Caenorhabditis elegans: one gene and its partner. The protein of the gene in region 1 interacts with the protein of each later gene in a pairwise test. Each region holds a gene or a part of one and is shown in the gene's direction. Other genes may lie near its edges. The genes, in order: nhl-1 and ubc-13.

Region 1 (16,714 bases):
ATCAAGTTTCTATGAAAACATGGAAATTATCTTGGTGCTCTTTTTTTAATGTGATTCGTATATCTAGGTTTGTATTAATAGTTCAAGATGACACAAATGAACACGATCGCATTATCAGTTACTCCATAAATGTGTTGATTATTTTTAAAAATTCAGTCAAAGTTATGCTAAATTGCCAAACTTTCCGGAACTTTTTAAAAAATAAATTTGAAGATTACTGCAGGTTTGAAATCCTAAAACGTTAAAATATACCTGCCCATCAACTGAAAGATATGAGTAGAACTTCCCGTCTTGCTGAAAATCGCTCAACATATCTTTCAACTTTCGCCGAGAATCTGAAAATTCAATTTTCCCTGTGGTTTTATATATCTTTTTCGAAGTTCTTTCACAGCAAATTTTCGGAAATTAGATTTTGTTCAGGTGTTCATTCTTCATTCTTTTCGTTAACTTACATGCCGCATATTCGCTAAGCCGCGAGAATTGCTCCGGTGATAACAACATTTCTGAAAATAATAAAATTGAAATTTTTAATCCAAAAAAAGATGAAAGGAGAAAATATAATAATAACAGTGTAAAAAGGAAATGTAAAAAAGGAATAAAAAGAAAAGAAAAAGAGGAAAAGCATGAGAAGAGAGAGAGGACTGAGCAGCTAATCTAAATCCTGATATTATGTATATTAACACATTTATAAATACACTTTTAATACGTTTGACAAGATTGGCTCACTCACTCGATGTGCATGTGCTCCGCGCTTCACCGCGCGAAAAGACGAGCGCTCTCCTGGTGAGCCAAAAAGGGGAGGAGAGAAGCGCTGCCCCTCGACCACACCACCCGATAATCCTCTGCTTCCTACGGTTTCAGCTCTCTTTTTAGCAGAGAATATCACGCGAAGAATCAATCGACACACCTTGTGTCTCACATAATGATTGCAATAAAAAAAGTTCACAGATTGACGCACATTTCCTTTCAGTTATTACGTATTACGCTGAAAGTGCCCAATGAAAAAAAAAAGAAGCCCCAAATAACAAAGTGTAATCAGATGGAAATTTGAGAATTGATAAAGTCGGTGATATAGTGTGATTTGTGTGCCAAATCGGATTGCAAAATGTGTGAACCGACCGTGAAGAATTGCAACTAAACTCGGGGAGATTGAAGATTATGACGGAGACATATTTTATGTTAGTGCATTTTGATTTAATAAAACCGAAAAAAGATAATAAATCGATTTAGTTTGATTTAATGCTAATAAATAATTTTTCCTAGAACTATAACAACTGCATCCTTAACAGTTTCAGTTGCCGTATTTTCTCTATTAGTGGTGCACCCAATTTCTCAAATTTGGTTGCACATTACTCGGTCGTCTGTTTTGAATCTTTTATAATTGGACAAGAAAATCCACTCTCCGACGTAGAAGTCAGTTTGGACGATTGTATAAATTTTTTCAACTGTTCGCCGGGTTTCCCGCTTTCCGGTTCTTTGAGTTTGAAGATCTGAGTATTCCTTACCGAATGGGTAAAATTGGTACTTTCATCAATTTTTAGGACAAACTATGAAAAAATCTCGATATTCTTTTGTATCCGTTTCTGATTTTTGGTAGTTTTAGGATAATTTTTTAACAGTTTTTAGATTTTTAATGAAAATAGTATTTTTAGGAAATACTAACTATTTTAGTTTCAGAACCCATATGTTTTGGGCATACAATAACACCTTCACCTTTTTCCTATGTGTTTTCCTATGCCTTAACCCATTCACAATTCGCCCCCTCCTCTCCTTCATACGCCAAGAAACTCATGTTTTTCGTTCCCGTAATAATCTAGGTCAGCTATACGTTCAACAGTCATCCTCTTCAACTTTTCCCCAATTACCACGCGCGCGGTACTACTAATTGCTCGGAACCGTACTTCGAGACTAGCATGGAAACCATTCGGTCAAAATTAGAAAGTGATGAAGTCACTCAACTTTCAATCAGTTGTTTCTCAGTTTTTCGAGGTCAGTTTTACAGTTTTTGAAAAGAGTTTGATGAAGTGCATGAAAATTAGATTAATTTCAGTATGAAAGCACAGTTGTTGTCAGATGGCCTCTTCCATTCATCATTATTCCTCCATTACTTACATTCTCAATCGGTATGTACCAGGGGTGTGCGGCAAATCTCAAAATTTGCCGAGCTCGGCAAATTCGGCAAATTTGCCGTGCTTAACAAACTCGGAAAAATTTGATATTTTTAATGTTTTTTGGAGCACCAAAACTACTGAATTCTTAACACACATCTGGTTTCTGAATAAGTTCCGCGTAGTATGTCTGTTTAAGCATCAAAATAGCTCAATTTTGTGACATTTTACTAAATTTCTGGCTAAAAAATCAATAGTTTTAGTCAAAATTGTACTGTCAAATTTTTGACGTGTGCGGCAAATTTCGAAATTTGCCGAGCTCGGCAAATTCGGCAAATCTACTTTTTTGAAATTTGCCGTGCTCGGCAAATTCGGCAAATTTGCCGAGCTCGGCAAACGGCAAATTCGGCAAATTCGGCAAATTTGCCCCACACCCCTGGTATGTACTATTTTCATGTTTCAATCAAACAATTGAGGATAAAATGGTAAATTTATTTTACTAATATTGATGCAAACCTAGACCTATCATGATCTAAAATAGTTTTGGTAAAAAATATTAAAAAAATACTAGAACACTATTGTCATGGAATTTGTATGTATCCACAACTACCATGACTACTAATAATTCATTTACAAAATACAAAATACTCAAAAAAACAAAAATTATTATTTCCAGTTACACTGACTGTGACGAATTTCCATTTGAACGTGACAAACGACACACTCCAAGTCTTCCTACCAGATGATATGAGAAGCTTGAGGGATCTCAAGGAACTTTTACGTCTGTTCCCACCGAGAGATGCTCAACGGGATACCTACAGTATATTTGGGTCGAAGTTTGTGTATACTGTGATAGAAGATGACAGTTCTGATGGTAATATATTGTCAAGTTCTGGAATACAAAGAATGTCAAAGCTTCATAAGTTTGTAATGGGGTTAGAGGTTGGCTGCAATTTGATGTTTTATGAATTATTTAAAACATTTTCAGACATCACTAGGAGACAATGTTGCATCGAACTGTTTGAGAAATAAAGATGATGAAGCTTGTACAATGCATCCAATCGCTTTTGCGCTGGAAGATACAACACCGGTTTTGTTCGAAATTTTGTTGTTAAAAATTTTTCTAACTTTCAGGAGTTTGCAATCCAGTTTCTACTTCGTTATCCAAATCTAAAATTTGGAGATTTTGTAATCGACAATGCAATGGTTTTTGGAGATGTTCGCATAGAACCCAAAGTAAAATAAAATAACAAACTGCTTACTATTCAGTAGTCAGTATATGTTGAATTTTCAGTCACAAGATCGGGATGGAAATTCGCCAATTCGTTCTTCAAAGGCTGTTCGAATGACTTATATCTTGGAATCTAGTGAATCCACGGAAAGGTGATTCTTTATAATTTGTTGAGAATAAAAATATTTAGCAGCAGTTTGAACTAGAAAAAGTCGAGTTGAAAATTGTTCTGTTAAGTTTTTCAGTGTTTTAAGACAATAAAAAAAAGAGTGCGGAATAAAGTTAAAATACTTTATTAGCAAGAAAAACTCTTTAAACAAGTTTATGTTTATTTTAAAACTGTAAATTTGATTTGTTAGTGAAGTTTAATAGTGTTTCAGGTGGATAGATTTATTTCTGTCAGCTATTCCACGATATAAAGAAACAAATTCCACAATATTTTGGTCATCTTCAAAGAGTCTAGCAAAGGAAATGGAGCGAAATGGGGAACTTCTGATTCCATGGATGCCTTGGACATCGCTAGTTCTTGTAGTCTTCTGTATGTTTGCCTGCTCTTCATTGAACATTGTGAAATCTCAACCATTCATTGGATTTTTTGCAATGTTCAATGCAACAATGGCAACAATTGCTTCAACGTCTCTTCTTCTTTATCTACAGTATCCCTTTCTTCCACTTGTATTTATTATGCCATTTTTGGTTGTTTGTAAGTTACTGTACAGTTATTTCAACCTATTTCTTTTTATTATCAGCAATTGGAACTGACAATATGTTTCTGATGCTCAAAAGTTGGAGAATGACGAAGAAATCTTCAAATGAAGAACAACGATATATTCACGCTCTAACGGAATCAGCGGCTTCTCTTTTCTTAACTTCTCTAACTGATGGCCTCTCATTTGCAATTGGGAGTATTTCAGATTTTCATGCCGTTAGTAAGTTTTTTTTTCAAATGTTAGTCTAACAGGGAAAGTGTGATTTTTGAACTATAAATTGAGACTTATGTTATTTGAAATTAGTCATTTTTCTTCAAAGAATACAGCGGTAGAAGATAATTTTAAACTTTGAAAAAGACAACGGAAAATTTGAAAAACTGTCTTGCATTTGAGAAACTTTTCCATGTCTGATCTTGATTTTAGAAAGCTTCGCAAATCGGAGAAAAACTCAGTTGTTTTCTTTTTTAAATGACGAAAAGCGTTTTCATCAAGTTGTGCGAAAAGTTTCAGCATAAAACTCAAAAATTTTAGAACATTTGTAATAAGATTTGAATTTTTTCTAGCTTAAAATCCTTCACTGCATTTTAATTTTTTGTACCCATTTTTGATAAAATAAACACTTTCAGGAGTATTCTGTACGTATTGTGCTATGGCGATTCTATTCATGTTCCTCTTTCAAGTTACATTTTTCAATGCAGTTATGTCATTATGCTGTAGAAGGGAAGTTTCTGGAAAACATCCAGTCTTTTGCTGTTATGAAATTACCCCGCCAGGTTTGTGAATTGTTCTAGTTGCACTAAAGAAATACAAATTTCAGAAGAAACACAGGTTCTCGAAAAACAGTCAAATTTCGATTTTTCTTCCATTGTTGCCAAACATTTATTCAAAATTCTCAACCCATTGCCATCTAGGATTGGAGTATTTTTCATTTTCCTCGCTTATTTATTTATTTCAATTCATTTTGCAATTGGTCTTCCACTTGGATTAGATTTAAAATTATTGGCTCCGGACGATTCATATGTTTCTAAAGAACTTGAAGCTCAGGAAAGACTTTTTGCGGACTACGGTGGATTTTGTTTTGCACTTGTTCGAGCTGAAAATATCTCATTGAAAGACCCAATGGTACGAAGAAATTTGATAGGACTCTATCGAGATCTTGGAGGGTAAGTTTCAAAACATACATTTTCAAAATAAAATTTCAATTATTTTCAGAAGTGAATATAGTTCTCCATCCGAGTTCTGGCTGGATCCATTTGAGAAGAAAAATCGTGGGAAAAAATATTCAGAATCCGATTTTTCCGACGAACTTCACACATTTCTCGCGAAAGAGCCTCATTTAAAATTTCGAAATGATATTAGATTCACAATGATGGGGAAGATTGAAGCAATGAAAATGATGTTTCGAGTAAGGAAATTAGGGAAGGATAATGATGCTCCACGAGCAGAATATATGAGAAAAGTGATGGAAAATAGTCAATTCAATGGATTTGTATATGATACCAGTTTTTTATTGGTTGATCAGCAAATGACTACGGTTTATAATGTAATTGTTGATGTGGTTTCAGCAATTTTAACAATGTTATCTATTTGTGTATTGATGGTAAGACATTTTTATAAACATGGCTCCAAACCATAGGATTTCAAAGTTAGACTTTTCAAAAAATAATTATGAAAATTAGAGATTTTTAAGTTTATGAGCATCTTCATTGTTTTATAATGATATTTTGGCTTTTGATAGACTACTTCTCAATTTCTCAAATTCAGGTTCCTCGCCCGGTATCTGCAATGTGTATTGCTTTTGCCATATTATCAGTGAATATTGGAGTAATCGGAGCCCTGGCAGCTACAAATACACGACTTGATATTATCTCAATGATAACAATTGTGATGAGTGTGGGATTTTCAGTTGATTATGTCACGCATACCACTTTTCATTTTGTTATTCAAAGGGACAATCGTCTTGAGGTATTGTCCATGAGAGAAGACTGAAAACAAGATAATTCAAAGTTTCAGAAATGCCTCCTGGTAATGACAGAACCAATTCTACAATCAGCTTTATCAACAGCTATTGGAGTATCACTTCTATCATTTGTTCACTCATATATTGTTCGAACATTTGTAAATACCGTATTCTTTGTAGTTGGGCTCGGAATTCTACATGGTCTCATATTTTTGCCTGTTCTTCTTGATACAATTGTCCCGGACTCAGAGTATATGGTTCCTTATGAACCACAGCATGAGGATGAGGAAAATCCAAATCATTACGAGGATCTTTACGGTTTATAATTTCAATGTGTTTTTACTTCAAGGATGTAAATAAAATTTAAATGTAAAAATATGTTTTATTGAACTAAAACAACCAGTTATATAAATAATTTTTGAAAAATCAACAAATAAAAGAGAAAACTCAAATTTAAATTAAAATCAAAAACCCGATATACCGAATTATCTTTTGTGTTGTTTTCTGGTGGCCCATCCTGAAAAAGTTTTAAATTTTTAAATTTTTTCTAGAAAAAACCAACTTTTCCAACGGAGCTCAGCGCAGTCGAATTGGTCCCTGAAACTTCCACGTCAACGATTAAACCCCCAGAATTTCCAGTTCGATTTTTGTCCTGATTTGGCACAACTGAGCTTGTTCGGTTTTCTAGAAAAAAGAGCAGGTGTAACTAACATTAATGAAGTTTATTCTCTCACCACAAATAGAATTTGATACTTCCTCAAATGTGATTGGACCTAGAGAGTTTAGATTTTCGCAGGTGTCCAACGATAAATTTGTAAGCAGAGGGTTGGAGAAAGCATAAAGAACATCTGGATAATTTCCGAAATATGGAATTGAAGTGAGATTTGAGAATTCTACTTCGGAGAGATTTCCATTTTCTTGGAGGAAGATTACAGGTAGATCAGCTGGAATATTTGAAAATTTAGATTAAATAATGTTGTCAATTTGACTGAAATTTCTAGCCGAAATTTTGGCAAACCACTTGAATTTGAAAATAAGACGGACGTCCGCCTGCCTACCAAAAACTCACGTTGAAAATTGTAGACTCTCCATAAATTTGGAAACTTCAAACTGGCAATTTCACTTTCAAACACTGTAATTGATCCCAGAATCTGCTCAATATCGTTTAATCTTAAAGTTTAAATTTTTAATGATCACATCAGTCCGCGATTACCTGCTCTGAAATTCTAAACCATTGATTTCTTTGGTACCATTTAAAACTAATGAATCTGTCAAAACTTGGCATCCAACAGGAATATTCTTATCATTGAAAAACTCAAAATTATCAAGTCGACAATAATTTTCTAAAATCAAAATTAGTTTTAAAATTTTTTTAGAGAACTAACTTGTTGGATCGCAAATTTGAATATGTGGTGCATGAAACTTCTCGGTTTGCATAAACTGTTCCAATTCACCTTCAGTAATGCATAACGATGGATTATCGAGCAAATAAATTCCATACTCTGCTTTCTTACTAAGAATTACCTGTTAAATATCAAATTTCAATATTTTTTGTTTTATTATTTGCTTACCTTCTTCAAACTTGTCAAGTACAACCTACGCAATAAACTATTTTTCGCAATTGTTATTATATTTCCGTACGCTGAAAAATACCATTTAGTATTAATATTGAAATTACAAAGTCTTCAAAATTTCCAAAAAGAACATACAGGAACATGTAGAAGAATTTCCAGTTTGTGAGTACTGAACTATTTCCAAATTTGATAAAAGTGACAGACTTGTGAAACCAGAGTTGGCTATCGTTATGCATCCAACTATTTTTGTGACATTTTCCAGCTTGTATTCAACGATCTTAAACAAATTATTGGAATCCTATAGTGTTTTGAATAAATAAAACCTCAAACGGTGGCATTGTTGACTCGAGACCCATTTGAATATGTCCATGAATTGTTGTGCAGTTGTCGGGTAATTTGTCCAACTCACATAATGGGCAATAACAATCTGTAAATGATATATTCAAAGTTATCAAAAGTATTACCGATTAGAATGATATTTAAGATTTTTGCATTTGGCAATTGGAAAATAAAATTTAAAACGCAGTTTTTTCCCTATTAGACTTGCACCATCATTTCTCTATTTTGACGGCTCATATTTCGGATTTCTTAAGTGAACTGTTTCAAAAACTGTTTCAGAATATAGATCAATATTTAGCGCGTATTTTGTCAATTAACAAATTTTTGATAAAACCAAAAAAAACCGAGATAAGCTGGACAGTTAGAAGAGAGTAGTAATTTCTTATAAATTTAATTGTTATCCAACATTTTGCGAAATTTCGTCTCTAAACCAAAACTAACTAAAATAGTAATATGTTTACTATTTCATTTTCACTTACCATCTCCAATTACAAAGTGATATAACTGAGTAAAAAGAGCGGCAATAAGTGGCCATTGCATAAATTCCAGCGCGTTACTCTTTTTCGTTGCAACCAGACGATAGACAAACAAAACTTGTGATTAGATTAACCAACTCAAAAACTGCTTTATTTTTTATTATTTCCGCCCACCCTCCGGAAAGCGATTGTCATAGTAACCAGCGAATTTCGCACGCCTTCTAGCTACTGCACTCGCTGGTTTTTTTTTAATGAAAAATAGTCGAAAGGTGGTTAGTGGGAGTTTTGAAGATTACGTAATTATAGAGAGCAGGATGCTGAACTTTCAGATTTTATTCAAATTATATGATCATTAGTTTCAAAAGTTTACCAACAAAAAAGACAAAATAAGTACATACATACGCTTGAAAAATCAAATAATCATGATTTTAAATACAAAAAAAGGAATTTCGGGAAATTGTCAAATCGTCAAATTACCTGAAAAGTTTAAAAAAATGTGCTTTAAAGAAAAATACTCAAAGTGTTATGAAAATACCACAAAAATAAAAAAGAATGAACAAACCAAAAAGGCAAGTTTCAATTGTGACTGTTCTCCATTTTTAAACTTCTTCCAAAAGTATAAGCCACGCCCATTTTCTAACCACTCAACGTCTTCAAACTCTACACAATCGTCCTGATTGGTTGAAAAGTGGGCGGAGCAAATCACTGATTGGTCAAAGTTTTTATTTCGGAGGGAATTCAAAATCGCGGTTTTAATAGTTCGAATTTCCATTTTTCTGCGGTTTATTTTTCGATTTTATTTTGTGGTTTTTTGAATTTCGGACTATTTTTATGTTTTAAAGAAACATCCTAATTTTAATCTACACTTTCAAGCTTCTGAAAATAAATACTGAAGTTCAATTTGTCAATTTCTTCTCAAATATTTCAACGTTCAGGACAGTTATCATAATCTTCGAGAACCAACAAACCAGCTGCATCTTCCCGCCGTTCATATCCTCATATCTTATTGATCTTTTTTTCAAATTCCCATCGGTTTCAAAACTTATGAGTAAATAGTCAAACAAAGCCTAAAAACCAGTAAAAGACTCAACCAAGAACTTTTCAAAATCCGATCCGCGCACCCCACGCACACCGATTGATATCGGCCGCCGCTGTGTTTGCAGGAGATGGCTGGGGGCGTCTTTCGTCTGTTGCTCCCCAGATCTTTCTCCAACTTCTCTGCGTCTCAAATCTTTTTTGGCTCCCGGGAGCACTCGGCACACTCATCCCCAACTCTCCAAGTACACCCCACTTTATTATTATATTCGATTCGTCTTCTCGTTCTATCCTGTTTTTTTTTAATTCGAAATTCCAATATTTCTAAAATTCAATCCTTATGAGCAGTTCTCCACAAAATGAAGCAGAAGCTCGCGAAAAGGTTTGTTCTAAAAAATTTATTTTTTTAAAGAAAATCTTAAATTCGTCGTTTTCCAAACATTTAAAAATTAATTTTGTGGACAACTGGAAATGAAATATACTTTAAACATCTACAAAAAATAATTATTAGAGACATTCATTGAAATTTTTTATCTTAAAAATATTGGTAACCCTATAACGGTCCTTTGAGTTTTAAAACTTAAATTTAAAATTTTTGTCAATTTTCAAAATTTTTATATTTCGTTTAAGCTCCCTATAGGTGCTGTACAAATTTTCTTTATTTCAAATAGACATTGCAACTTTAAAGTAACGTTTTTATTTTTTAAATGAAAAGTTATTCCACTGATTTTGAGAAAAAGTTAAGTCCCTGTACAACATTGATTAGTTGATTAGTGCAATCATCTCTAACCCACATGACCCATAGATTCTTTCAGATGCGCGAGCTGATGTCACGTCCACCATCGAGTCGACCAGCTGATTTTGTGAATCCTCTCGAAAAGATCGAGCAGTTGCTGACGTGTCCGATTTGTCTCGATCGCTACAAGTAAGTCTGTGATCTCAATCAGCTGTTCGTTTTGAAAGTGAGCAGACGAAATTGAAAGAAGAAGCACCACGGACAACCAAAACAAACTATTAGTGTGTAGTTCAAGGATAGACATAGGCCGTGTGACTTCTGACTGACCACTGTTATCATATGACCTAGGCTAAGTACCGCTTGGCTGAGGGGAATTTTTTTGAAAAAACGAGATAGACTTAGGGGATGCATAATAAACATCCGGTTGTTTACGCACTGTGCATCAAAACAATAATAAAATCAGACAGACTGTTATGATGATTAGCTAGGAGAACGTTATGGAGAAATCAACAATCTAAGATCCTGCAGGGATCTTTTAAAAATGAGGATCATTTTTGGGTTAAATCAACAACGTTTGTGTCAATAAATATAGACTAACCTACGTCAGAGTAAAAAGTGGAACATTAAAAAAAAGAGATGTTTCATTGATCTGTTATAGATGAACAAATGTAAACATCCATTTTAAAAACGAGAACCTTTTCTTGTAAAATATTTGAATAATACACTTATAGTCTCAAAAATAAAATAAAAAAAAGTAAAAAATTTGAATAACTTTGCACGAGACCTCAGACAATCATGACAAACATTGTATTTAGTGAACGTAGGGGTAAAGTTTTTCAAGCTTAGAAGGTGTAATACTATGATATTTTTCAACTCGCCATTTCTTGTTCTGTCTTCTCAAGTTTAATTTCTCAAGTTTTATCTTGCTAACTTTTTATAAATCTTTTTGTTTTTGAGAAAGACGAGTAAGAAGAGTTGGCGTAGTATTTTAGCCCACTAGGAGTGTTTTTAAACATTTTTTCTCAATGGCGATTATCTTCAAAACTCAACGTTTTTATTGAAGTTTCCTAATCATAAGTTTGCCAATTTTTTAGATTAAAAGCTCTAGCTTTTGGGCTATAACCCGGTGCTCATTGAAAATTCACAAAAATACCTCCTGCGATAAAAGAAACGTTTCAAATATTTTTTTTTTCAATTCAATAGATGATTGGAATTTTTTTCGAAATCTTAGAAATCATATGACAATATTTCAACTGGTGGCAATCCACTTTTTAACAATGAAACACTTCAAAATCAATCACACAGTTGTTCTCAACTCATTGTTAGAGTATTTCGAAACAGCTTCACCGTTGTATCTATCTCCATGTCGAACGGCTTTTCCTCTACTTTCTCTTTTCTCTTTTTTACAATCGAGAAGGGAGCCAAGAGAAGACTTTTCAATCGGATTCTCCGCCAGTTCTCAACTATTTTGCCATTGGCTATGGGGCTGCAAAGTGTGTGTATTACACCGATGAGGAAACGAAGAAGCCTGCTGGACGTGATCTCTTTGAAAGATATTTAGAAAGAGAAACGAGACTTTTTATGATTTTTTAAAGTTGTGAAATCGTGAGATATTGACATTGGACATCTGAAGAACTTGGTAGTTGAAATGTAATACTTTGAGCTTTGATTTTTATAGAGATAAATGCTGAACAGAATGGCTAAACTTTTAAATATCAAGTTATAGATTTAAACTATTTTCAGACAACCCAAGCTTCTACCTTGTCAACACACATTTTGCTATCCATGCTTGGAAAGTTGTGCAGACACGTTACATCGCAATTTGAAATGTCCAGAATGTCGAGCAGAACACAATATTCCATATGACGGAGTAAAGGCGTTTCAGGTGTGAAAATAAGTATCACTTTGAAGCAAAATATTTCATTTTCAGCCAAACTACACATTAACCGGGTTTCTCGAGATTCATCTGCAGGCCACACCAGAATCGGCTGCAGAAATTGAAGAGTACATTCACAGGTACAATTTGGAACGGTGCAAGATTTGTGATGAGAAAGCAGACTGTGAACCATGTGCACATTGTGATAGAAAAGCATGTAAAGAATGTCGACAGACTCATATGGATATGCTTAAAAGAGACATGTCGCGACTTTTGAATCAGGTTAAACGGCTTGCCAATCGAATTACGGAAGCATCGGATAATTTATCAAAAGGAGTTGATATGATGACAATGAACTGTGAGACAACAAAAGCAGAAATTAAAGAATATTTCCACAGGTTTGTCTGAAAAGATATAAAAACCCGAAAAAAAAATTAAATTCAGATACCAGAGAGATCTGAAAAAGAAGGAAGACAACTTTCTCATGGAAGTTGATACATTTCAAGCTACTGAGACTCGTAATATGAGCAATCTTCGTGATGTTCTGGAAATTGAAAGTTCTAATATGAGTGAAGCAGTTTCTAGACTGGATGCTGCAATCAAGGTGGGATTTCATTGAATATTTTGAAGCTATCGAGAATTTCAAAAAGATATCATAACAAAAAAATCTTAAAATTTTCAGGGAGAATGTTCAATTGAAGATTCTGAACTTGTTCGAATGAAAAACACGTTTACGGAAGGGCTTGAATATCTTAGGAACTTTCAGGTAACTTTTTAATTTAATTGTTGAACATTTCTTATTGTATTAATGCTTTAGCCCGACGCCGACGAACTTTTTAATCGAAAACTCCGATTCTCAGCTGGAGATGATGCTGCTAAGCTTCCAGCAGCGATCACTACTTCTGGTGAACTTTGTGTTCTAGTTCCTCAATTTTCGGGAAGGTATATTTCAAAAACTTCAAAAAAAACGAAAATCTTTAGTCAATACTTTGTAGATACCTCCCTCTTGAACAATCATACCTTCCAAGACCATTCCGTTTACCATTGGAAAGTGACAGTTATCGGGTTAAATCTGACGAAAGAGCAAGTATGAGAGATCGAGAAGCTGATAGGACATCTTCAAGGCACAGGTATGTTCCATGGGAATTGGTTTTGGTTTTTTATTAACAAACGTGTGATTTTTAGTCAAGTAGTTTAGTTGTATAGTGTAGAACACTAATTATAGAAAATCAACATTGTTAAGGTGTCAAAATGAATCTACGTCCGGTCTCTGGCTCTCGACTTCATGTTTTCAGTTTTCTATGTAACGGCTTATTGTTGCAATTTACACTCAAATATAGTACAATTTATGTTTTATTCATTAAAATATCTTAGAGGTCGCCAGAATTGTGTCAAGATGCTAAATTTGCCATGCCAATAAAAATAATAATATTTAAGAAAGGGGCAACGGACAATTTAAAAAACTATTTAAAAGTTAATTATTTTCAAAATTTTATTCGAATTTTTGAAGAAAAACGGCTAGACAAAAAAGTAAAAGCGTTTCCGCGTTTTTATGTTGGTTTATTACTATCCAATTTTGGTTATTTTTTGGCCAAACACATATTGATCGCCCTTTATGAATATTAAATTTGGCACCGGCATTTTGACATAAATCTATTGAAGTTATAGTTCAATTTAGCTTGGATAATTTATTAAATGTATAATCTCACAATTACTTCTCCATACAGTTTCCCTCTCTAAACTATCCTCTTTTAATTTCAGTCATCGAAATCCTGAGCCTGATGAGTCCTCGATTCGTTACCGTCGTCGTCAGCAGCTGGAAGACGAAGCTTGGAATCGTCTCCGTAATTCATCTGCTGCTCCTTCTCTTCTTACTACATCAGTCACTGCGGACTCTTCATCACGAACATCGCCGTGGGCTGCTGATCGTGTCACCCGATCAGTTGAACCAACCAAGTCACGGCCAACAAGTCTGATTGTTCCGAATACTGAAACACCAAGAACTGTATCTCCAGCTAGTAAACCTCCTCTTCCACCACAATCTGTTGAACGGGTTGAGAGGACTGAAGATGCATCACCTGCTCCACTTCCACAACTTCCGATCCGAAAGCCACCTCTGCCACGTCAACAGTCCAGTAACGATGATTCTTTGAATGAGAAAGTGGAAACCATCCGTAGAGCTCATCAACAACGTCAAGATGCATCTAGAGCTGCATCAAGAGCAGTTTCAAGTGAAGAATCAGAGGGAGAGGATTTTCCCGTATCCACCAACCGCGGTAGAATACGAATAGTTTGTCGCGCGGCATCTGTAAACCGTGATGATGGACTGATGAGTATGATCCCAGGAACTGGTACGATCATAAATGTTCCGCCACCTCAACATCAACTTCCGGCATCCGCTCCGATCACCAATGGGACATCTGAACAAGTCGCGATTCCAGTCACACATTTCACAGGTGAGGAAGACGAAAGTGACATCGTCGTGCCAGCGTGGTTACAGCGTCGGAGGCAACGCTTCCAACGCTCGCGCACAAATCCCGACATACAGGCACAGTTCACAAGTGCTCGAGTGCAGCAGCTTCTCGCCGAACGTCAATCTCGTTTAGACTCTTCTACGACAACCGACGAAGAGAAAGAGAAGCTTGCCGTTTTGCGACAGCGTGGCCGCAGCGCTTCTCGTGAAGCTGGTGAATGGAGGGCTCGTGGTAGACCACGTGCAGTATTCGGACGAAAAGGTGCGAAGGATGGCGAGTTAAACTGGCCACGTGGAATTTGTGCATTGTCCGGAGGTCTTGTCGCAACTTGTGATTCGTCTAATCATCGTGTCTGTGTTTTCGATAAAGATGGAAAATTTGTTCGTCAGTTCGGAGGCTACGGTGCCGGTGCCGGACAACTTGATTCAGCTGCCGGGCTAGCAAGCTCAAAGCTCCGAGTTATTGTATCCGACAGGTACAATCATCGAATTTCCGTTTTTGGATTGGAAGGAGATCATTTGTTCTCATTCGGTGGACATGGACAGGGAAATGCTAAGTTCAATAATCCATGGGGAGTTGCTGTCGATGATTTGGGAAGTATCTATGTGGCTGATAAGGTAGGTCAACTATCATGAGACGTTTCTCAGTAATGCGAAAGTTCATAATTGTATACATTTTGATAAAAATTAACTTTGTTTATTAATTATCATCAAGAGAAGAACTTTGTTTTTGTAGATTCATATATTGCAGGCAAACCGGACGTCCGGTATTTTGAGTATCATTTTTTAATTTTTTTTTTTTTGGAAATTCGGACGCCGGACATTATTGTGGTCCGCTTTGCAGATCTAGATTAAATTTTAAAAAACATTGCCCCACATGCTAAAATACAAGTGAAGCTTAAATTATAGGATAATCACCGCGTCCAAGTCTTCGACAAAAATGGTCAATTCATTGCAAAATTCGGATCTTTCGGACATCTACCTGGTCAACTAAACAGTCCATTGTTCATAGCAGTTAGCAGAGTTACTCATCACGTGAGTGATTCCAGATAGATTCATGAATCATTCTGAATCGTTTCAGGTGTATGTATCAGATTCTTCGAATCATCGAATCAGCGTATTCGATCCCCACGGTGTTCATTTGTTTTCATTCGGCGAGGAAGGTTTTCATGGTGGACAATTCAAATTCCCACGTGGAATTGCTATTGATTCACAGGTAAGGCTGGAATGCTAAAGAAAAATTCTAAACCATTCATTTTCAGGAAAACCTAATAATCGCCGACTCCGGTAACAACAGGATCCAAGTTTTCGACGCCCAAGGTCAATTTGTCTCCTCTTTCGGAACTTGGGGTGGAGGAGCTGGACAACTGAAAGGTGTCGAAGATGTTTGTGTCACTGCTGACGGTTCAATTGTTGTCACCGATCGCGAGAATCATCGCATTCAGATCTTCTAAATTATGTTTTTTCGGGCCTTATTCTTGTTTCATTTTCAATTAAAATGTCTCCTTTGTAATTTTCTGTTATCGATACCGATGCCACCCAACTTTTTAGTGTTTTCATCTTTAGGTACAAAGCACTTTTACAAGTATTATTAATTATTATTACCCATTACGACTTTCGGTTTTAAAACACTTCTGTTTTCGAGTTTCAATAAAATATTTATTGAGAAAAAGGAAACATTCATTGGATTTCCGATTGCATTCGATTGTGGATTCTAAGCTTTGAAAGTGAAGAGGCAAGTTTGGCCAGCTGTTTGTTGGAAGACGGTGAAGCGCTCGTTGGCGGAAACTTCGTATCTGAAATTACAATAGCATTTATTAAATGAATGTTTGTATTAATCTAATTTTCTTATATTGGTTTCTACTTAGCTTTCTACGTACCTACTGTGCTGCCTAAAATTACTATACACCTAAATACATGTAGTAGGCCTACACGCATGCCTGCTAGGCCGGCAGGTGGTAGGCACGTATCAGTGAAAACGCGCTTGGATCCTATGAGAAGGTTAATGATACCGTGCAGAATTGACGAACAAATTTGTAAATTTTAGCTCTTATAACGGCCATGACATTGAGTTCACAGTGAGACCCATCCAAAAAATAGCATTTGCCTTTAAAGTGATGATTCCAGTTTTCACAAATTTACGATAATCCATGAGCTACATTAATCACCTCTTTCCACCTTCCTTCATCTTAGAAA
Region 2 (14,262 bases), on another chromosome or scaffold:
GAACCATTTGTTTGTGCACTTTTCACTGGAAAATGCCATGTCTGTCTCACGAGAAACACAATTTTTATTTGCAAATTAAATTTCGGAGCGATTTATATGCGGAGAAAAGAAGGGCTGTAAAACCAAAAAAGGTGTGAAATATGTTATGAGACTTTGCTTTTTTGCTTTTTTAGCCCTAAAATAGTCCAGAAACTACCAAATTTCGTACTGAGACGTTCTCAAAACTTGTCAAAAAAAGTAATGGCGACTCAAAAAATACATATTTTCAACTAATAAAATCTCAAATTCTTCCAACAGAACTCGAGATCCAATGGGACAGCCTGACACCATGTGCAATTCCGCAAATTCCAGAAGTAATATGATAAAATGTGCATTTATCACAAAAAACCTATTTATTTTTCAAAAACAAAACCACTAGACTAAAATGAAATTCTGGTGCACAAAAGAAGTTAGAGACTTCATGAAACCAGGAATTTCTTTTGAATTTTTCCAAGGGAATTGTGTTGCGCTACACTGCAACTTTTTCCTCACGAGGGACGAGGAAAAGTGGTTTCTAGGCCATGGCCGAGGGGCCGACAAGTTTCAGCGGCCATTTATCTTGCTTTGTTTTGAGCCTGTTTTCTTTTGCTTTTCACAGCTTTTTCCCGTTTTTTCTTATTAAAACTGATAAATAAATATTTTTTGCAGATGCTAAAACAATTTCCAAGTAAAAAAATTATGTATTCAGTCGGCAAGCAGCGGTGAAAGTGGTCAATGCAACATGATGGATTACGGGAATACAAAACCTAAACTTTTTCTTAAACATGATACATATGCTGCTTAGATGCTGAAATTACCTGATTTTCATAACGAGACCGCTGAAAAAGTTTTGAGGTTTTCAAAATTCAACTTTTTGTGCGAAAATCTCGACTTTTTCACCAAAATAGTTGAATTTTGGAAACCTCAAAACTTTTTCAGCGGTCTCGTTATGAAAATCAGGTAGTCTCAGCATTTAAGCAGCATATGTATCATGTTTAAGAAAAAATTTAGGTTTTGTATTCCCGTAATCCATTATATTACAATGCCCACTTTCACCGCTGCTTGCCCACTGAATACATGATTTTTTTACTTGGAAATTGTTTTAGCATCTGCAAAAAATATTTATTTATCAGTTTTATTAAGAAAAAACGAAAAAAATCGATGAAAAACGAAAGAAAACAGGCGGAAAACAAAGCAAGATAAATGGCCGCTGAAACTTATCGGCCCCTTGGCCATGGCCTAGAAACCACTTTTCCTCTTCCCTCGTGAGGAAAATGTTGCAGTGTACAATGCAAATCTGAATTTCCGAACAATTTATATGCGGGCAGAGCTGTAAAATTTTGGTTGAACCTATAGTGAGAATCTAGTGAGATGAGTCCAATTCTACCACACGGGCAAATCTTTAAACTAACTTTGAAAAAAAGGGAAAAAATTTTAATTCCCGCGTCAAAAATTTACACAGAAACTTGAAATATTTACCCCTAAAGATTTTTCTCAGAAGGCAAACTTTACGACACAGTTTATTTGCGTTGGGACGACGGACTAATTTTTCAAACGGTGTAGAAAACTCGGCCACCAAAAAATTTTATAATGGTCAAAAAGTAACCTGAAAATTTTCAAAACTAATTTCATTAAATCCTGCCAATCTAATTTTTTTCTTTGAAAAAAATTATTTATTCGCGGCCGCGCAGAAGAAAACTCGGCCACCAACTTTTCGAGAACCCTCATATCAGCAAAAAAGAATACAATGTTTTTAGAAAAAAAACTCACAACTTTTCTTCGACTGAAAAAAAACTGTTAAACTAACCTCAATGTTCCGATATTAGTTTTGCGATGACGTGGCATTAAATATAATAAAAATGTGGAATTTGTTAAAAACTAAAAATTTCACGTAAATAGAACCGAGTTTATCAAGAAAGTTCACGAATATGTTCTGTTGAAAAACTTAGTTTTAACCGTAAAAATTCCAGGTTTTTATCAAGATGTGCCTATTAATAGAATATATTGTGTTCCCAACGCGAACTGTGCAAATTTTCAGACTACAGTACCCCTCTACAGTAGTAGTTTTGAATTCGAAATCGCTTTTTCTTCTTTTTAGTGTTTTCAAATCGAATTTTCTTGTAATTCTTGGATTTTTTGGTTCTGGAAATTCTGGAAAACCCCCTGAAAATGGTACAAAACCTATAATACAAGAAGAAAGTATTTTGATCGATGCACCATGACCCGATCTCCACGGGAACCGCCAAATCGACTTTAAAATCCCTTCCACGCGAGACCTGAATTTCGTTCTGGACCAAGAAAAGATTTTTTAAAAAATCTGATTTTCAAACATTTTTATTTTAAATTTTGCGAACCTGTAAAAAGTGAAGTTTTATGCAAATTTTCATGTTTCCCGCGATCTTTAATGCTAATTTTAGTTGGAAAATACGATTTTCTAACTATTTTTGAGGTTTTCTCAATGGAAAATATCGTTTTTCACTGCGAATCAGCCCGAATAAATTACAAAATTAATTCCAAAAGTCAACGTTAACGCTGACGTCCACATCGAGAAACGCGCCAAGGAGAGTGCTGACGCGCCCGCGGTGCGCGCAAACACGTCAGCTTATTTTCTCGAATTGCGTTCGCTTTTTCTCTATTTTCTCTCCGTTTTTTCCGCTTTCTTTTGTCTTTTTATTCTATTTTTCTGCATAATTTGTTGGTTTTTTTTTTCAGTTTTCCCGCTATTTACACTCTCAGAGCCCTGAAAACCCCGTAATAATCCCTGTTTTTTCCAGCAGATGAGCCGACTCGTCCTTCTCATCTCCCTGGTGATTGTCGTCGCCTCGGCTGCTGCTCCACAATGTGAAGGTTTGTAAATTTGAGAAAGCTTAATTACTTAATTATCTAATAAAAAATCGCGAAATTTTCAGTCTGCAAAAAGGTTCTGGACGATGTGATGGCAAAAGTGCCGGCCGGCGACAAATCCAAGCCAGATGCCATCGGAAAAGTGATCAGAGAGCATTGTGAGACCACTCGCAACAAGGAGAACAAATTTGTAGGGGATTTAAAGATTTAAATGATTTAATCTAATTTTCCTTTAAAATTTTTAATTTTTATCCATTTTCAGTGCTTCTACATCGGCGCACTCCCAGAATCGGCCACTTCCATCATGAACGAGGTCACCAAGCCGCTCAGTTGGTCGATGCCAACGGAAAAAGTCTGTTTGGAGAAGCTCAAGGGCAAGGATGCTCAGATTTGTGAGCTTAAATACGGTTCGTTTGGCGCATAATCTCGCTTTTAATCAAAAAAAAAAAATAAATAAATCCCCAAATTTCACAGACAAGCCACTCGACTGGAAGACGATCGATTTGAAGAAAATGCGCGTGAAAGAGCTGAAAAACATTCTCGGCGAGTGGGGAGAGGTGTGCAAGGGATGCACCGAGAAGGCCGAGCTCATCAAGCGCATCGAGGAGCTTAAGCCGAAATATGTCAAAGAAGAGCTGTGATTTTTTTTTCATGCCGTTCTACATGTGATAATCGTGTTTTTAGCGTGTGTGTTTTTATTGCAATTTTACTTGTTGAAATCTATTTTTTATTAATAATAATTTATTTATTGATTTCCCCCCCCCCCCTTAATTTTTTCGTGTTTCATCATCATCTTCCTCCCACTGGTCTGGTCAAATGAAGCTTTTTTCCCTGATTTTCCCTCAGTTTGCCAATTTTTCGGTTCTAATCCGGTTTTTAATAATTTATTTTACCTTTTTTCTAGGTTTTCCAGGAAATAAATCAGTTTAAAAATGTGATTTTCGAAGATTTACGGTCGAAAACTGGCATTTTTAGGCTGAAAATATCGATTTTCACCTTAAAAACCTCCAAAAACCAATTTTATCGATTTCGAAACGTTATTATTGATGGAAAATACGTAAAAATGGAAAATAATACCCATTTTCAGCTTTTTCAACGCCGAAAAATCAATTTTCGGCGATATTTTCTACTAAAATTACCGAAAAATGTGATTTTTCCGCAAAAATATGCGATTTCATAACAGTTTTCGTTGGGAAATGCACAGAAATCCAATTTTTCTAAAAATTTCGCAAAGGAATTGATTTTTTACTTAAATTACCGTTAAATTTATACATTTTTAGTATAAAAATTAAGATTTCGCGTGGATAACGAGAATTTACAGCGTTTTTTTGCTGAAAATATCGATTTTCTCGAATTTAGCGTTTTCAAAATGCTCAAAACGTCGAAAATTCAGTTTTTGGCATTATTTTTGATGGAAAATACGTCAAAAATGCCAATTTTCACTCTGAAATGCACATAAATCCTATTTTTTCGAAATTTCACTGTTGAATTGATTTTTTCACTCAAACTACCGGTGAATTTACATATTTTCAGATGAAAAACTGAAAGCTCCCGTAGAAAACGCGTCTTTTTCAACATTTTGGTGCTGAAAATATCGATTTTCCGCAAAAATAACGAATTCGTAATGCCAAAAACGTCAAAAATACACATTTTTGCGTTTATTTTTGATTAAAATTACTCCAAAATGTCAGTTTTCTGCAAAAATATGCGATTTCATCACTGTTTTCCATGGAAACTGCACAAAAATCCAATTTTGCCATTATTTTGCACCGAAATCGATTTTTTTCTCCAAAAAAATTATTCGAAATCGTGAAAAGCGAGCGTTTTTTAATGTTGGAAATCACAAAAAACCCAATTTTATCGATTTTTGGCCGACGTTTACGTTGAAAACTCGAGGAAAACAGTTTTTTAATTGAAAAATTCATAGTTTCCCGCAGAAAATTAGATATTTTAACTTTTTGTACTAAAAAAAATGGCATTTTTCCGATATTTCGAGAAAAACTTCGATTTTTAATTAAAAAACCTTGAATTATTAGTCTTTTTTCTTTTATTTCAGCCAAAATTTATACATTTATACATTTTTTTCTTCAGTTTTCACCATTTTGCACTCAAAAATCCGTCTAATTGTTGAATTTTTAACAGAAAAACAGTTTTTCGCTGGGAAAAGCTCTAAAATCACTCAAAAACCATCAAATTTATTCCACTTTTCCATGGAAACTGCACAAAAATCCAATTTTGCTATTATTTTGCACCAAAATCGATTTTTTTTTCCAAAAAAATTATTCCAAATCGCTAAAAACGAGCATTTTTTTGGTTGGAAATGCCAAAAACACAATTTTATCGATTTTTGGCCGATGTTTACGTTGAAAATTCGAGGAAAACAGTTTTTTAAAGTAAAAATTCATAGTTTCCCCTAGGAAATTAGATATTTTAACTTTTTTTTTGCGGAAAATGGCCCTTTTCCGATATTTCGAGAAAAAACTTTGATTTTTAATTAAAAAACCTTGAATTATTAGTCTTTTTTCTTTTATTTCAGCCAAAATTTATACATTTATATATATTTTTTTATTCAGTTTTCACCATTTTGCACTCAAAAATCCGTTTTTCTAATAGAAAAATCAGCTTAAAAGCCCCAAAACACACAATAAAATTTCTTGCAGAATGGCCGGGCAACTTCCGCGTCGAATCATCAAAGAGACACAACGACTTCTCGCGGATCCGGTTCCCGGAATATCGGCAAATCCAGACGAGAGCAACGCCAGATACTTCCATGTCATGATAGCCGGGCCAGACGATTCTCCATTTGCTGGTGGTGTCTTCAAGTTGGAGCTTTTCCTTCCGGAAGAGTATCCGATGGCTGCACCGAAAGTTCGATTCATGACAAAGATCTATCATCCGAATATTGATAAACTCGGCAGAATTTGTCTCGATATTCTCAAGGGTGAATAGATTTTCCCCTTTTTTTGAAAAATTAGTGAAAAAATTTTTTAAAAAACGGTTTTTAGCGTTTTAATCAATTATTTTTAGAGAATTTTCTGAATTTTCATCGAAATTTGCTATTTTTACACTGTTTTAACACAAATTTATTGATAAAATTCAGAAATCTAGCTTTTTTGGATATTTTTACTTGAAATTTTTCGAAAAACAGCCCATTTTCAACAATATTCACGAGTTTAGATGAATTTTTTGTATTTTTTAATATTTAAATCAAATTTAGCTCTTTTTGAGCGTATAAATCCGAATTTCATGCTCATTTTTCGCATAATGAGAAAATAATCCAAAAAATATGAATTTTTACGCATTTTAATGGGAAAAATGGATCAAAAACAGCTTATTTTGAGCGTTTTTTGACAAAATAGACGAAATTTCGAGAAAAATCGTGTTTTTTTTTGTTCTAATAAATATATTTAGGTGCATTCGAATGCGAATTTCTCGAAATTTAATTTTAAAAAACCCTCTTTTTGTGAAATTTTTTTCAAAGAAACTGCGAAAATGTATCATTTTTGCGCATTTTTAACCAAATTTCATCGAAAATCTCGGAAAACGGCGTTTTTTTGGCAATTTTTATTCAAAATTGCGAAAATTTCGGCGAACCCCCAGTTTTCGAGGGACATTTTCAATTTATGATCGAAATTAGCTATTTTTAATCATTCTAAAGCGAATTTCTTGTTAAAATTGCTGAAAAATCTGATTTTTTAGTAATTTCAATGGAGAGATAGTAAAATTCGATTTTTAATTACAAATTTCGTGTAATTTCTTCGAAAACTTCTTTATTTTTGCGCATTTTTTCCAATTTTTATCGAAAAATTACTCCAAAAGAAAGCATTTCGATAGATATATCTCATTTTTTGCGCATTTTAATCAAATTATCCATAGAAAAGTTCAATTTTTCGGCTATTTTAATGCGAATTATCTCGAAAAACTGCTCATTTTGAGCTTTTTCACATGAATTTCTCGAAAAAAAATGCCCAATTTTTCAGATAAATGGTCGCCGGCTCTTCAAATTCGCACGGTTCTTCTGTCGATTCAGGCTCTTCTTTCGGCTCCAAATCCGGAAGATCCACTGGCAACTGATGTCGCCGAGCAATGGAAAACGAATGAGGCCGAGGCGATTAAGACTGCAAAACAATGGACGATGAACTATGCTCGTCAGTAATATATCTAGGGTCTCGCCACGAAATCGATGAAAATTTGCAATTCTTTTGAAGCCAAAATCGAAAATTCGACCTCATGTCGATTTACGCCGATCGTGTACTCCCCGAGGAGAAGTTGGAATGATTTTTATACAGTTTTTGACCTTTTTAACATTAAAACTATCAAAAAATGGCTCGTAAATCCGATTTCCAGCCGAAAACTGCTTTTACGCCACTAAAAATATCGATTTTCACGGAAAACACTGTAATTTACGGCTAAATTTGCTATATTTAAGTAAAATTTCAGGAAAAGTCGACGAAAACGGCGAAAAACAATACTTTTAGCGCAATTATGGAGCCAAAATCGAAAAATCGAACTAAAAATCCCTGAAATTGGCGCATGTCGATTTACGTCAACTCGTGTACTCCCCGAGGAGAAGTGGGGGTGAAAAAAACGGGTTTTAAGGTGAAAATTATTGATTTTGGCCTATTTTTTCTAATTTGAACGTTTAAATCATCAATTTTTGCTCGGAATTATAGCTTTTTTGATAAATTTTTATTTTCGAATTTTTTTTAGTTTTTCAACCTTTAAAAAATCGAAAATAAAAATTTATCAGAAACACTATAATTTAGACCTAAATTGGTGATTTAAAGATTCAAATCAGGAAAAAATAGGCCAACATCAACAATTTTCGCCTCAAAATCCATGTGCTTCACCCCTCTTCTCCGCGGGGAGTACACGAGCTGCGTAAATCGACATGTGCCAATTTCGGAGGTTTCTAGTTCGATTTTTCGATTTTTGCTCCAAAATTGCGCTAAAATGATTGATTTTGGACCGTTTTCGCATCGACTTTTCCACAAATTTTACATAACTATAACAACTTTAGCGCTAAATTCCAGTTTTTCAGTGAAAATCGAAGTATTTAGTGTCTTAAAAGCAGTTTTCAGCTGGAAATTGAATTTATGAGCCATTTTTTTGGTAGTTTTAATGTTAAAAAACTGTATAAAAATCATTCCCACTTCTCCTCGAGGAGTACACGGGCTGCGTAAATCGACCCTTCGAATTTTCGATTTCGGCTCTGAAAACAGTAGATTTTCCTAGTTTTCGCTGTGGGACCCAACAATAAATATGCATTTTAATAAATTTTTTTTAACAATTTAAAAAATAAATTAATAATTTTTTTTCAGAAGCCTGATCGTCTCCGAAGCTCGCCTCTAGAACAACTACAAAAAATCACATCAAACAAAAAAAAATTCGAAATTCTCTCAGCCTGCTCTTTGTCCCGCCTTTTCCCGCCCCCTTACGAACTTCCAATAAATTGTATGAATTGCATAAAAATCTCGATTTTCCCCATCTTCTACTATATATCTAAATATTGATTTTTTTTGTCCCCGCCCGGTTTTTTGTCTCGAAATTCTACAATTTCCTCCCCATCCCATTGAATTTTTTAAAAAATTTTTTTGTCTCTGTTGTCTCACGATCCTCATCAAACCGTCGTCGTCCATTTAATTTAAATTCTTCTTTTTTTCTCCCAGTTTCCAGAAAATCTTCTTCCATCGAAATTGATTTTTTTTTCTCTTTTGGAAATTTTGATGATTTTTTGAATAAAGTCGTTATTTTTTTTGAGAATTTTTGAGAAATTTTTGAAGGCATTTCCAGCAGTAGCCTGATGGTTTTCAACCGGAAAAAATGCAAGAATAAATAGAAGAATAAATAGTAGATATTGTGATAGAAATTTTAAAAACTGGAAACTGCCTGAATCGCCGATTGCCGAAAGTGAGAAATGCCGAAAAAATGCACGCTGATATTACTGTAAATTTAAAGGGACACACAGTATCTTGTTGCATGGGTTTCATCGCGATGTGTTCAACTGTAGCTTTTTGATTTTTCTTTCGATTTTTCGAATTTTAACTGTGTTTTTTCATGTTTTTCTTGCGAAATTTGAAGCAATTACCGATAAAAAATTTTTAATTCAGATTTCTGCAAACATGGACTCGAAGCCACTCACCTATCTATCCATGCAGTGCATTATCAAACACTTGGAGGCGAATAAAAGGTGAGACAAACAGTTTCTGTAATTAACTAAATACATAATTCTCAGATTCCGACTGGCCGCACAATGCCCATCTCTTGTAAAGATCGAAAAATCGCAACCTCTGATTATCAAGAAGCTGGAATTCAATCGTAGTACAATCTCTGTCAATGGAGTGAAATACAAACTTGGTGCTAGGAACAATGTATGAATTTTTGCCATTCTAGACGAGGGTGTCGGTTTTAAGTATTTTACTAAATTCTTTTGAAAATAAAAACGAAAAATTCGTTTTTTTTTCTCAAATCGAAAATTTTTCGCCATTTTAAATCTAATAATGATAACTTTTTGGTTTTTTTCTCACTAAAATCGATAACTATTCTAGAGAACGGATATTTCAATGAATACATTTTCAGTTCGAAGCCCCACACACTCTGACGAGAGCGCAACTCAATGGACGACATCCGCAGATCCATGTTAAATGGTTGAATCTTCCAGATGAAGACTGTGTACCTGAGCTGCCGGAATCCTTCAAGAAGTTCATGGTTCAATATGTACGGAATTGGTCGTCGCTTACCGATCGATTAATCGATCCAAAGAGCACGCCATTGCTCATTTATCTCTCTGGAGGTCACAATTTGGATTTGCTGGATGTGATTAATCGACACGAAATCTTGAGAACTTGCGATGGATTGATGCTTTATATTGTTCCTCGTGAGCTCTTCCATGACATCGGAGCACTACCCAACTCTTTGATCGAATTTACTATTGAAGGTGTTGAAGTTTTCGATTTCCTCATTTTGATTGACGCTTTGCTCCACCCAGACCGTGAAATTGAAACAGAGCGTATCTTCATCACTGAAGATGCCGATTTGGTCGCGAATTTATTCAAAGCATTCACTTTACTGGCAGAAGGAAACGATCTTGCGATGTTTCAATATGAATTGTGTGGAATATTTGGAGATGAGTGCGATGAATTCCCACAAATTTTCATTCTGGATCAACGATACGGTCACTATACGGATACGGTAACTGCTGCTGTCACTCCTCTTCTTCCCTTGTTTTTACCCTTTTGAGGCCCTGATTGGGGGTTTTCCATGTCAGCTAATCTTGCCTTCTTGTACATTTCTCCATCACCATGCTGCCAACCATAAACACTGACCATTCCCGCGTAGACCCATGTCTCGTCACAAGATCCAATATAGTACTTCTTCACATCTAATTCTTCTTTAATTTTCAGATAAATATTTCTGTTCTTCACAATATCTAGCCTTTCGTCAACGATGGTGTTGTGATTCTTCTTTCTGTACACAAATCCCAAACCACGCATCACAAATCTCAAACTTGTAGATCCTCTGTTCCACTGAATATTCGATTCTGCCCAACTCTGCAAGGATTCAATAACCACGTCTTTCCCATCACACCAGAGCCCATGGATGTACTTTGTGAGCTGAAGCCGTTTCACCAAAGAAAGTTTTGAAACTTCCTTTCGATACCGTTCCTTCTTGCTCATTTCACAAATACGTTTCCTTGGTTGCTGGCTTCGTTCCGGGGTGCGACGTTTCACAGTGTCTCTATGAATTCCACAAAATTGAGCAGTTGCAGTAACAGTGTTGTTGAGGAATGTGTGCTTCGAATCAGATCCCATTTTTTCCTTCAGAATATCCAAGACCTCCCGGACGTTTCTCATAATCTCCTCCGCGGTTTTTGGTGTATTTGAGTGAATCTAGACTAGGAAAGGAACTCGGGTCAATTTCACAAATAGCTTTTCTGATTCTAGCAAACACAGAATTCATCTAAAAATACTTTAAATTTTATCTCGGCTAATTTATATATTATGGAATCACAAAATTCTGAGAATGCGTACTTTACAATATATTTGACGCGCAAAATATCTCGTAGCGAAAACTACGGTAATTCTTTTAATGACTACTGTAGCGCTTGTGTCGATTTACGGGTTCTAGATTTTTGAAATGAATTTTCTCATTTTTTTTTCTCAATTACTGTAGTTCTCGCTACGAGATATTTTGCGCGTCAAATATGTTGTGCAATACGTATTCTCAGAATTTTGTGTTCCCGTAATATTCTACCTCATCAATAATCTCTTTTCCTTTTTCAGAGTCAAAACTACATTGTGTGCCGGAATCCGAAATGGACGGAAGATCGGGGCCGACCTGCTGGCAGCGCATTAGATCGGGAAAGCTCAATGGATGTACTTCGGTTCCAGCCGATCTCTGTGCTGGTTTGGCTACAAAACCGATCGACCTTCCGACAACTCTCGACTCTCCACGTCCACCATCTGTGCAAATTCTCAGTTGTACCATGATTTTTGCTTATTTTATTAAATGAATAATATACCTTTTACTCGTATCAGTTGTTCTCTAGAAATGTTCGGATCACGCGACATTTTCTTAAATTATAATTTTTATTACAGAAAAGTTTAAAAAAAAACATCTACAATGAGAAATCAATTGATAATTTGGGCAGGGAACAACTAGAATATGTAAAGATTTCAAGGTTTTATTGATTGAGATCATCTCAAGGTATCTATTAATTAATGAAATACCAAAATGGAAAATTAGTTTCTGTTTTGGGCCAAGTAGATAAGAGAGCTCCCGTTGAAATCGACTGCTTTAAAATGGATCCTAGCTCCGATGTATTAGTGCATGACTCAAAGTTGCCTGGAACAGTCTCGAAGATGGTCACGGGTGCAGCCTGGAATTATTAAAAACATTAACTCTATTTGACTGGAAATTAGTAGTTAACAGCCTCATAATTTAAATAGTGGCCAATAAAAGCTCCTTCCAGTCTCAAAGTCTCGATAAACCACTCGGAAAAGTCCTCAAATCGGTTCGCTTCTTGTCATTCAAGTAGTGACAGTGACGACCATCGCCGAATCTCCTTTCGAATCCGAAGATGAAGACGATGAAGCATTGCTTGATGGAATCTGAAACGACAATTTGTTATTCACTAATTTTTATTTGTTTTTTTGTTGAGTTCTACTTACTTTTCGTTTTATTCGAACACCAAGCTCGCTTCTTGTCATTCAAGTCGGTTCTTGCCATTGGGAGCAGGGTTGCGAGGACTATCGATCGTGTTTTGTTGAATGCGTCGAAGAAGGACTGAAAATTCGATTTTCACAATTAAAATTTAATTTTTGTATTCGTTTTGTAGAATTATAGGACTCATATTGTACTAACCAATGCTGGACTCATACACCACAAGCCGATCGTAGTCTTGCCGCATTCTGAGATCGGTTTATGACCCGTCTCTGAGATTGATGGATCCTTCCAGCCGTCTCCGTCAGCTGCAGCATCTGCTAGCCTAAAAATTTAAACACATTTTATCATATTTCTGATTTTTTTTTGAAAACCATGTGTTCTCATCCTTGTACTGCATGTTTCTGGGTCCCGCCGAGCTTCTTGTTGTCGTTGGTCTTGGATATCCATCGCCCATTTTGATTTATCGGCTCAATCGAGATGTTTAACCTGAAATTGTGAATTTTTGTAGTGTTAGAAAATCCAGAAATTGGAAGAAAAAGAAACTTTCATTAATGCTTCGAAAACATTTTTTTCTTTAAAATTCGACTTCTAGGCCAAATTCCCTACCTATACATGGATTGGTACTGAAGATTTTCAAAATATGGCTGAAAATACAACCACTTCTCGATGCAGAGCTTGGTTTGAACGCGTCAAAGTACTGCATTTTCGGCTCATGATGTATGCTTCGTAATTGCATTGAAAGTCCCCTGAAATTGAGGGAAAAATTGAGAATTTTTGAAGAAAACGTGAAATTAACTTCGAAATAGCGATAAAATCGATAAAAACGGATAGTTCACAGTGTTTTTCTCGAAACAAAATTATTTATTTCATTTTTGAACACAAAAAACACCTGGAAAGTGAACAATTTTCAAGAAAATAACAGTATTTGACAAGAAAATGGGAGCAAAAAGCAATATTACCGGTACAGAGAGTGTAGATAGTTAGAGAGTGGCAGACATTCGGGACCCAAAGGGGAGGGGCGCGGGGAAGAGACGAAACGATTTACGAGGTGTCGGTTTACGGAGCATTTCTCTTGATTTTTTTTCTTTAGCGCAGACCGATTTTCTTCTAATTTCTGTTGTTTTTATCCATTTTTCTTCCTCTTTTTTTTTTGTTTTCTTGTAAAAAATAATTTTTTGAATAAAGATAATATGTTTTTAATGTGTTTTCTGTTTATTTTTTATGGAAAATTGAAAGGATTGAAAGGAAAAATTTTTCAGCAATTTATAAAATGAAAAAACCGGCGAATTACCTGAAATTGCTGAAAAAGAGGATTAAAAATGCAGAAAAGCTAGTGAGGGTGTATCCTTTCAATTTTCCATAAAAAATAAACAGAAAACACATTAAAAACATATTATCTTTATTCAAAAAATCATTTTTTACAAGAAAACAAAAAAAAGAGGAAGAAAAATGGATAAAAACAACAGAAATTAGAAGAAAATCGGTCTGCGCTAAAGAAAAAAAATCAAGAGAAATGCTCCGTAAACCGACACCTCGTAAATCGTTTCGTCTCTTCCCCGCGCCCCTCCCCTTTGGGTCCCGGATGTCTGCCACTCTCTAACTATCTACACTCTCTGTACCGGTAATAAAAAACTAGTTGAGAATTGCGCGCGCCGCACTTGCAAATACTGTGCGCGCGCATAGCAGGAGTGTGGGCGCGGCTTAAATCTCTGAAAATCTGCAGTACACGCCACGCAGTTTTATTATTTTGAGTGTAAGCATCCAAAGTGAATTCGATTTACATACATAGGAGTTCTACTATACCTTAGGTTTTTGACTGAAATTGTGTTCTGAACATCCAAACTGAAAAAACAACCAAAATTGCATTTTTTATAAGATCCAACCAAAATCTGAAAAGTTTTCAAAAAAAATTTTCGAAAAAAGTTTTGAAAATTTTTGTAAGGGGGGACCCTTTGGATTTTTTTTCTGAAAAAATTGAAAAAAAATTTTTTTCAAAAATTTTCAAATATTCATGAGATATAGAAATCACTTACTTGGTTGTTTCTATACATTTTCTTGCCAAAATAGGTGTTTTCTATAAGTCAAACCGACATTCCTTGGGGCTCTGAACAATAAAACCTCCTGTCTTAAAACGGATTTATCCAATTCTAGAAGGGAGGTATCAAAAAGCCTTCAACTACAACCATGTTAAGCTTGAAGCAATAAACGTTTTCATAGTTGTAGGCATCTTTTCAT

Evidence for each region.
Region 2: the proteins of nhl-1 (region 1) and ubc-13 interact in a two-hybrid assay, tested with the Caenorhabditis elegans proteins (one study listed by BioGRID).

Annotation. Positions count from the first base shown.
Region 1 is NC_003281.10:9,146,864-9,163,577, reverse strand, and holds nhl-1 (RING finger protein nhl-1), read left to right. Parts: upstream 1-9,675; 5' UTR 9,676-9,773; coding exon 9,774-9,815; intron 9,816-10,248; coding exon 10,249-10,358; intron 10,359-11,912; coding exon 11,913-12,054; intron 12,055-12,099; coding exon 12,100-12,443; intron 12,444-12,489; coding exon 12,490-12,649; intron 12,650-12,727; coding exon 12,728-12,811; intron 12,812-12,862; coding exon 12,863-12,987; intron 12,988-13,040; coding exon 13,041-13,175; intron 13,176-13,806; coding exon 13,807-15,136; intron 15,137-15,427; coding exon 15,428-15,553; intron 15,554-15,599; coding exon 15,600-15,734; intron 15,735-15,780; coding exon 15,781-15,972; 3' UTR 15,973-16,183; downstream 16,184-16,714. Other genes in the region: dgk-3 (putative diacylglycerol kinase 3), read right to left, coding at 253-335, 453-501; ptr-9 (Patched-related protein 9), read left to right, coding at 1,945-1,989, 2,051-2,123, 2,785-3,050, 3,097-3,198, 3,243-3,344, 3,403-3,491, 3,720-4,042, 4,089-4,268 and 5 more; Protein irld-34, read right to left, coding at 6,413-6,526, 6,572-6,693, 6,744-6,953, 7,079-7,179, 7,223-7,352, 7,395-7,533, 7,581-7,651, 7,719-7,860 and 2 more; ZK512.8 (uncharacterized protein), read right to left, coding at 16,233-16,314, 16,687-16,714.
Region 2 is NC_003282.8:2,916,952-2,931,213, reverse strand, and holds ubc-13 (Ubiquitin-conjugating enzyme E2 13), read left to right. Parts: upstream 1-5,522; 5' UTR 5,523-5,523; coding exon 5,524-5,803; intron 5,804-6,842; coding exon 6,843-7,010; intron 7,011-8,183; coding exon 8,184-8,191; 3' UTR 8,192-8,623; downstream 8,624-14,262. Other genes in the region: manf-1 (Mesencephalic astrocyte-derived neurotrophic factor homolog), read left to right, coding at 2,796-2,865, 2,928-3,052, 3,125-3,269, 3,337-3,503; fbxc-45 (F-box C protein), read left to right, coding at 8,985-9,052, 9,098-9,233, 9,442-10,053, 11,145-11,351; Y54G2A.50 (uncharacterized protein), read right to left, coding at 11,836-11,972, 12,033-12,147, 12,226-12,349, 12,399-12,481.